2 linked regions of the Callithrix jacchus genome follow. The main gene of each other region encodes a partner of the protein of the gene in region 2 in a complex. Links are inferred from orthologs where the notes say so. Each region holds a gene or a part of one and is shown on either strand. Other genes may lie near its edges.

Region 1 (3,394 bases), on a different chromosome or scaffold from region 2:
TCACTTTTAGCTTTTAAAAGAAAGGAGAGTATATTGGCAAATACCCAATTCTGTTCCTCCTCCCCTTCCTTCACTTCCAAAAAGCTTCCTCTGAAGAAACCATCCTAAGTGTCATAGCAATGCTACTTTACATTTATATAGTTCTATGAAACTGATGTCTGAATTGGCTTTCCCTTAGACAGAACAAAACTGTCAGCATGTGTCAAACCATTCCACTGTGCAGATCACTCTGCTGTGATATGAAAAGAAATATTAAGTAAAGAAGTATTTGGTCAGATTCTCTTCAGCCATAATGTATAATGCCAGGCGATGAAACAGAGCAGTAGCTAAGGGTCAAGCCATGCGTTTGAGTCTAGCTCTGCTACTAATTATTCCTCCACTTTACATTTTGAAGGAGATCTGGACTACAAAGGAAAGTCTTTAACCTCTCTGAATCTCAACTCGGTCGTTTGTGAAATGTGCTCTTCCAGTTCTGTAGTAAGATGTACCTTTGATGCATCACCCAGTAAAGCAAAATTGCCTTTCATAGCTCAAGTCATGTAACTCAAGTTCCACAGAGCACTCCGGCATGTCGTTTATACTCATATCTTCTTTTCCCCACATTTTAACGTCTTCATTTATTTGGAAACACTTAACTACCTGACATTTCGAAAGTCAGCCACATCCCTAGATGTAACTAATTTTTATCTTTTTCTTTTTTTAAACAGGTGAAGGTGCCGAGCTATAAACCTCCAGAATACATTAGTCTGCATGGTTAAAAGTAGTCATGGGTAATTACAACACCTGTTCTTGCCTAATAAGTTTCTTTTACGCCAATCCACTAACACTTTAGTTATATATTCACTGGTTTTACATAGAGAGATACAAAATAAAGATCACACATCAAGACTTATCTACAAAAATTTATTATATATTTACAAAAGAAAAGCATGCGTATCATTAAACAAATAAAACTTTTTATCACAACACAGTACATATTTGTCATTTTTTAAAAGCCACACAATAGAAACAAGACACCAAGATTTTTTTTTTTTTTTTTTTTTTTGAGACGGAGTTTCGCGCTTGTTACCCAGCCTGGAGTGCAATGGCGCGATCTCGGCTCACAGCAACCTCCGCCTCCTGGGTTCGGGCAATTCTCCTGCCTCAGCCTCCTGAGTAGCTGGGATTACAGGCATGCACCACCATGCCCAGCTAATTTTTTGTATATTTTTTAGTATAGACGGGGTTTCACCATGTTGACCAGGATAGTCTCGATCTCTTGACCTTGTGATCCACCCGCCTCGGCCTCCCAAAGTGCTGGGATTACAGGCTTGAGCCACCGCGCCCGGCCCTAACACCAAGATATTTTTAAGTATCTTGTCGTGTCTTGTAAAATAGCTAAACACTCATCATTCGTGGTGCAATACTCATAGACATAAGTTCCTGAAACAATAGTTTGCATGCATAAGGCATTCGCACCAAAGAAATCTGAAAAGAAAAAACAAATAGCAATTAGCAGAACTATGTTGAAGTCACCCCACTTCTCTACCCGAGAAAGCAAAGGTCTGGTACTGCAGATAATAAATGAGTGGAGCTGAGAACACGCATTCTGCTACCTCGGCTTACGATGGTTCTTTCTCCTAGTACGCTTGGTATTTTACCCTTCCTGCCAGACATAATTTATATTCACCCACCTCAACTAAAAGGTTTTTAAAAACTCATTGTTTAAAATCCCTTGTACAAAGTTTTATTTCCAAAAGATGAACAGCTTAAAGAAATTACCACACTAAAACCTAAACTGGTTTTTAGAAACATCAAATTATTTTTTTCTTATTTAGAACTAGAAATCTTACAGAGGCATGCTATCAAAATTGTGAAAATGCTGATCTGTTCTACCACACTAAATCTGCCTGGATAATCAGACCAACAGAGTTTCCTCTAAACAAATATCAACTGCCAGTGAAGTCTATACCCACCTGGGTTTTATTGCGGCAGCCCCTGCATTCATATGTATGGGTCCTGGTGTTGGCAATCGCCATTATTCCACAAAGGTTGCAAACATGAACCTGATATGGATCTGATGCCTCAAACAATCTTTCCCTTAAAAACTGGGCTGCTCCATGGGCAATCTGGCAATCTCGTTCCATTTCTCCAAAACGCAGACCACCATCACTGTTAAGAGGAAAAAAATTATTACTTTATACTTATTTTTTATTACAAACACTGCCTTGAATAATGGCAAAGGTGAAGAATAATATTTGCAAAGAAGGAGAACTAGGGTCTAATTTTTATACCCTATACCCTGGTAGAGGAGAAATCTACCAACTATTTGATGTGCATTAGAAAGTCAAATGGGCTAAGCGAAGTGGCTCACGCCTGTAATCCCAGCACTTTGGAAAGCGGAGCTGGGTGGATCTCTTGAGCCCAGGAGTTCAAGATCAGCCTGGGCAACAGGGTGAGACCCCATCTCTTTTTTTTAAAAAACATAAAGAAGGTTCCCCAAATGCAGTAGCACAGTAGATTCTTAAGTATAGCATTTAATTTTCCTCACCAGATACAATGAAGCATAAAGCACAGAGTGGAGGTTCATCATGCTATCATTTAACTTTCTAGAATTCAACTCTATACCAAAAAATGAATAATAAAAAAGACAATCTAAATAAAGCAGTTTGTCAGTGGAACGAGTTTCCCAGGCAATCAGCCTTGAAATCATAAATACATGTTGGCGGAAGTAACAGAAAGAACAGGTAAATAATAGGTTTCCCCAACATAAGAAGTAAAATGCATTATTTGCCAGGCAAATAGATGGTGATGGCTTCCTTAACATACTTAATATCCTAAATATATAAAGTAATACCAATGGGTTTATAATGATATTCCACCAAAACAAATCATGGGTTAACTGTGGACCAATGATTTGGATCATTAGACAATGAACTCATTGTTTTGAAAACCGGTAAATAAAGAGAATCAAGCATTTATTCCTGCCCTTACTATAGGAACTATGTCATTAGGTAACCAAACAGTTGAGGAAACAAAGTTTTAGAAGTAGCCTGACTAAAAACTGAAAAAGGAATGAGAAAAAATAGAATCGCATCAGTTTGTAATCCCTATTTAATTAAGGTCTTCAAAGAAGTGATCATTAATAGCTGCTAAAATCATAAAAAGAAAGGCAAGGAGATACTGGAAATATAGAATACCACCTAGGAAGTATTACTGCTAAAAAACTCAAACCCTAAATCTCAAGCTTCAAGATCTAACTATTTACAAAAAAAAATAAAAACAGCAATGCAGAGCACTTGGGATACAATCAGCACAATTCAGTCTGAAGACCCAGATACAGTCCAGTGTCTTCAATAAATAAATTACAAGGGGAAAAAAGGTTGGAGGGCAACCAACGAATTCAAAAAAAGGC
Region 2 (4,863 bases):
ATAATAAATTTGTCAGTACAATTTACCTCAACCATTAAAAACTATTCACTCCTTCTCATTAAAAGAAAACCAATTCAAATATCTGGGTTCTTGCTTTACTGTTCCACTCACTCACTAACCTCTTTATTTCGCCCAATCTGCCTCTTGAAGCTTAAATTACTCATCTGCAAAATGAACATTTCTATCGTCCCTGCTTTAACATTCATTCTGTTTCTACATATAAGGAAAGTATATGTGACTATGGACATCATCTTAACTAAATTAATTTAACTGCTGAATTACAAAAGTATCTCTATAGTGTTTTGTTTTTTAATCAATAATGACTCCTCAAGGCATTAGAAGGGCAATGTATTTTAAATTGGGAGCATAAATCTCAAATTGACAATACATAATGCTTTTCAGTAAACTAGATGGTGTGGTGTTCCTCAAATCAGTTACCTCTAAAAACCTTTTGCTTGGAGATCCAGAGATATATAGGTATAAATTTGCTTTCTTCTGGTACTCCTCTACTTAATGAATCATTCTTTAAGATTTTATTTTTGTGCCTTAATGAACTCACAACTTGATCACTTAACAGCTTCATAAGCACTATAGTTTAAAGAAGGGAAACGTGTATGCTTCACAAAGTATATGCCCAATGAATAATTTAGAATTGTTCACAATTTGAAAAGCACTCAAGACACGAATTTTTGAAAACTATGTGGGCACATAGGCATTATTTGAAATAAGCAATTTATAAACTAGTACCTAAAATTCTTCACTCTATTGAGTCAAAGTTTCCGTTTCTCACGAAATAGTTTAGGTTTGTCCTGATTTTTAAAAAGACAGGTATTTCAAACTTGAAAACTGGTTTATCAGAGGGCCACTAGTGGCATTATTAAGTGATTTCTTAGGAGGTTTCCTTCAAAAATGTTAATTCCCTGATGCAATGCTGAAAAATAAATTGAAATAATTTTTATACTGGATACTGTGTTAATAATATCCAAGGCGATAAAGTTCTACTTAACAGTTTTTTAAAATCCAGTTTGCACTAAGTCTCTTCCCTCTAATTACTCACGATTCCCCTACACATAAATGGTCCTATTCTGAAGCTTCAGGCACTTATCTATTTCTCTGAAAGGCCTCGTGTCTTTTAGATTTACTATAGAAAAACATAATGAAATATTAGGAGCTGTATTTCTAACCTGTTTCCTGAATATTTGAACAAAATACAACAAAAACCAAGTCCTCTGCAGCTAACACTTTGTAGAAAGCAGTTTTTTTAATTCCTGAAAATAATGCACACAGGAAAATCACTAGACTATCTGATCAAAAATTCTTTGTTTTCATATTTTGAAAATTGTAAATAAAAACGGACAGCGATTCGGATATATTTCCCCTAACAAACAAAAGAAGGTAATTCCTAGCTGCTGCTAGGAACAAAACAAAAACTTGGGGCTCTGAAAGCAGCCCCCGACAGGCGCGAAATTACAGCGTGAAAAAAGGACCTACAAATAAACTGAGCTCCGCACGCGCCTGGCTCTCGCCTCGGGAGCACGCACCTCCCAGCCCCGCTCTCAGCAGCTCTCACTATTTAAAGCCGGATCTGGTGTTTAAATGGAGAGGCGGTGACGTAGGCCTGAAAAGCACCTACCCATCCTGGCAGAGTCTATATTAGAGAGCGGCAATGGCTCTATATAAACAGGGCAGCCAAAGGGAGGAGGACCACAAAGCTCAGGGACTGAAAAGCAGGGTAAGCGGCCGCAGCCATGATGGATCGACCCGAGTCGCCAACGGTACGGTGTCGGGCGGCCGCGGGCTAGTCTGCGGCATTTGGGACCGGGCAAAAACGTGTTTTATTGTCATATAAAAATAAGAGTTGGGGGGACTAGTGATCACATTGCGTTGGTGACTGAAAAGGTTATTTATGTGACTGCTTTTTGCAAACCTACGTGATCGCAAATAACCAAAAAGGGACCAACGGGAAGAAGTAGGCAAATTTCAAGGCGAAAGCAGGGACACTTGGACCACTGTAGGCTTTTTTTGTTTGTTTTGGTGCTTTTGCTAGTCGAAGATACGATGGGGGGGGGGTTGCTTCCCCTTCGCCATTTTACCCATTCGGAAGGAACTGAGATAAGTGCTTTTCAAACAACCTTAGTCCTTTTTTTAAACATAAAATGGCCCCAGTGAAGGTTCCCAAAGCACAACTGCCAGGAAAAAACCTAAGTAACCCCCAAAAGTAGCCATTAATCCTCCACTGCATTAAAGTGGATCACGGTGGGTCTCAGGGGTTCGCCCGATTCCCCAGACACGGTTTTTGTTCTTAAGCCGCTCGGGGAGCCATCGTCTAGCCAGCGCGGACGGGCCCCTCGGGGGGAAGCGGCGGCTCCCCTCACGCCCTCCCTCCCGGGGGCCGGGTTCTGGGGCCGGGGCTGCGCGCCCGCCCGGGCCCAACCGCCTCCGCGGCCCGACCCGGCCCGCGGCGGCCCCAGGCCCCGCCGGCGCCCCCGCCCTCCCCGAGCCGCGAGCCCTCGGCGCCCCCCCGCGCCCGCCGCCCGCCGCCCCGGCCCGATCCGCCCGAGGCGGGAAGCGGCGGCGGCAGCGGCGGCGGCCGCGCGGGCGGCTGAAGAGTCGAGGCCGGGAGTCGCCGCCGTCCCCGCCCCCGCCCGGTCCGGCCGTTGCTGCCGCCTGAACGAAGCCCCCGCCGGCCACCGAACCACGTCCTTACCACGGTGTTTGTATTTGCCGAGTTCGCCATTTCCACACACAACACAAACAAGAGGGGGCAACCCCAAGAAAACAAGATAAAAACAAAACCAAAAAAAAAAAATACTAAAACACCCGAGGGTGACCCAAGTCACCGCAAGATTGGGGAAAAAAACTTAAACAAAATCAATCCTGAAGGAGTAGGGGAGAGCGGAGAGGAGGAGGAGGAGGAGGAGGGGGGCACTCCTCCCGCAGCTAAAAACCTCGAGAATCGTCTTTTTAAAAAAAAATCCACGACCCTTAAGGGGTCCGGGGGCGTTGCCCGCTCCCCACCCCGCGCCAAGGAGGGAAACCACCACCGGTCACCGCTCCCTGCGCCGCCGCTGCTGCCACCGGCTGCAGCTCCAGCCGTCCGGTCCGCTCGCTTCTCTCCTTTATATAGCGAGCCAACAAGCTGCGCGAACCGCCGCCGCCGCCGCCGCCGCTGAGAGACAGGGTGATGGGGGAGGGAGGGGTGGAAAGGGCGGGGGCAGAGGTGGGCGGGGCTGAGCGCGAGACACCGCGAGAGCCGCGTGCGCAGGCGCGTCGGGGCGGAGGCCGCCGCGAGCCGCGTCGTCACGCGCGGTGGGGGTGCTCGACTGGCGGAGCTTGGGTAGTGAAGTAGTGAAGTCGGACCTACGCCTCTCCAACTCTCGCGTGATCACGTGGTTGGCACCCAGGCGGAAGTCTGCCGCAGTTCTTTGCGGTGAAGTACTTGCAAAGCGTTTCTGGAAAAGGCGCGAGTTCTAGTGACATTCCAGTCCAAAGCTAGGTGGGACCGCCTCCTGTCGCACGTTTCCGCCCGGTCCCGCGCTGGAGGAGCTAGGAAATGAGACAAGCGGTAGCGACTGCCTCGCTAGGAATGGCCGCGGAGAACTGGTCACGTGGTGCGGCTTCCGGCCTCTGGCGGGTTCCGATTCGGGACGGTTTTAAATGCGGAGTCATCTCTTGATTTGTCAGCGAGGCTTTGACTGTGAGCCTCGGAGCGTTCGCTCCTCGCCGAGGGTGGGTCTTTCGCGGGCAGAATTATGTAGAATTTCCCAATGGGAGTAAAAGCCGATTGGGGCCCACTTTCACATTCCAGAGTTACTAACCTCTGACTTGGTTTGTTTCCACACTGGGTCCGCTACGAAGACCAGGCTTACTTAGGTTACCCAGAGATTAGTTCCCTACTAGCCCACGTACTTTAAATAATTTGTCACGGTGGTGGAAATGCGGTGCGGGGAGTAGGGGAGACAACCCCACCAGCCTTTGGATTATAACAGCACAATAACTTTCCCTGGTTTTAAAAAATACTGCCAAAATCCCACTACTCCGCATGGCCAACGTGTAGTGACTGATCACATTGAAACACATGCCCTTGACCCAAATCGCTTGGCCTCTAGTTATAAGAGAGCACGGCGGCTGTGCCCGTGTCTTGAAGTGCAATCCAATAAGCTTTTGACCTCCTCTGTCCAAACAAATCCTGCCTTTATATCAACATTACAAGCAGAACGGAGCCCCTGGAATTTTGAGGGACCTGAAATGTCATCTGGATGAGTGAAGGAGTTTGTCTTCCAAAGACAGAGCAAAACGAAAAGTTCTTTGCTGGTGAAACCAGATTTGAAGAATGTCAAAGGCATCTTACCAAAGAGAAAAAAAAAAAAAAAATGCAGCCTGCCAACACCTGAAGAAAGGGATTAGAGAAAGCAGGGGCCTTTAATACGCAGAAAATGGGAGATTATCAATGGGTGTGGAGAATATCTATGAACCTTGAGATTTATTTTCACACCAAATCCATTCCCCTCTTAACAATTACTTCCAGTTACCTGCACAGCTGCATGGTCTGGAACACTTAAAGAAAAAAAATCACAGGAAATCAGTGTTCTTAGCAATGTAAAATTGTGATTCAATCAACATTTGTGATTTATTTAATATTCAGGTGATAGCCCAATTGTAAAGTTACACTAAACAATACCATTCCTGGTAAATTTTACTGCATATTGAGAGGACTTCTTGTTACCTCCCTATATACATACTCCCAAACGCTTTGTACATGGAATCCCTCACCTTCCACTTAGTTTTCTCCCCTACCACTTCGTATTCTTGATAAATGGTTGAGTAGTTTTGCCATCAATTAAGGTTGAAACCACTGCCCTG

Evidence for each region. Proteins that work in one complex are often made in the same cells at the same time.
Region 1: GTF2A1 (region 2) and POLR2B share a complex: the UniProt entries of both Homo sapiens proteins name them as parts of the TBP-based Pol II pre-initiation complex. The link is inferred for Callithrix jacchus from reciprocal best matches to the Homo sapiens genes GTF2A1 and POLR2B.

Annotation. Positions count from the first base shown.
Region 1 is NC_133504.1:139,754,546-139,757,939, forward strand, and holds the end of POLR2B (DNA-directed RNA polymerase II subunit RPB2), read right to left. Parts: intron 2,152-3,394; coding exon 1,956-2,151; intron 1,468-1,955; coding exon 1,378-1,467; 3' UTR 890-1,377; downstream 1-889. Other genes in the region: IGFBP7 (insulin-like growth factor-binding protein 7), read left to right, coding at 708-727. UniProt on the Homo sapiens protein: Catalytic core component of RNA polymerase II (Pol II), a DNA-dependent RNA polymerase which synthesizes mRNA precursors and many functional non-coding RNAs using the four ribonucleoside triphosphates as substrates.
Region 2 is NC_133509.1:116,181,893-116,186,755, forward strand, and holds the start of GTF2A1 (transcription initiation factor IIA subunit 1), read right to left. Parts: upstream 3,179-4,863; 5' UTR 2,738-3,178; coding exon 2,708-2,737; intron 1,776-2,707; exon of another isoform or gene 1,702-1,775; intron 932-1,701; exon of another isoform or gene 748-931; intron 1-747. UniProt on the Homo sapiens protein: TFIIA is a component of the transcription machinery of RNA polymerase II and plays an important role in transcriptional activation. TFIIA in a complex with TBP mediates transcriptional activity.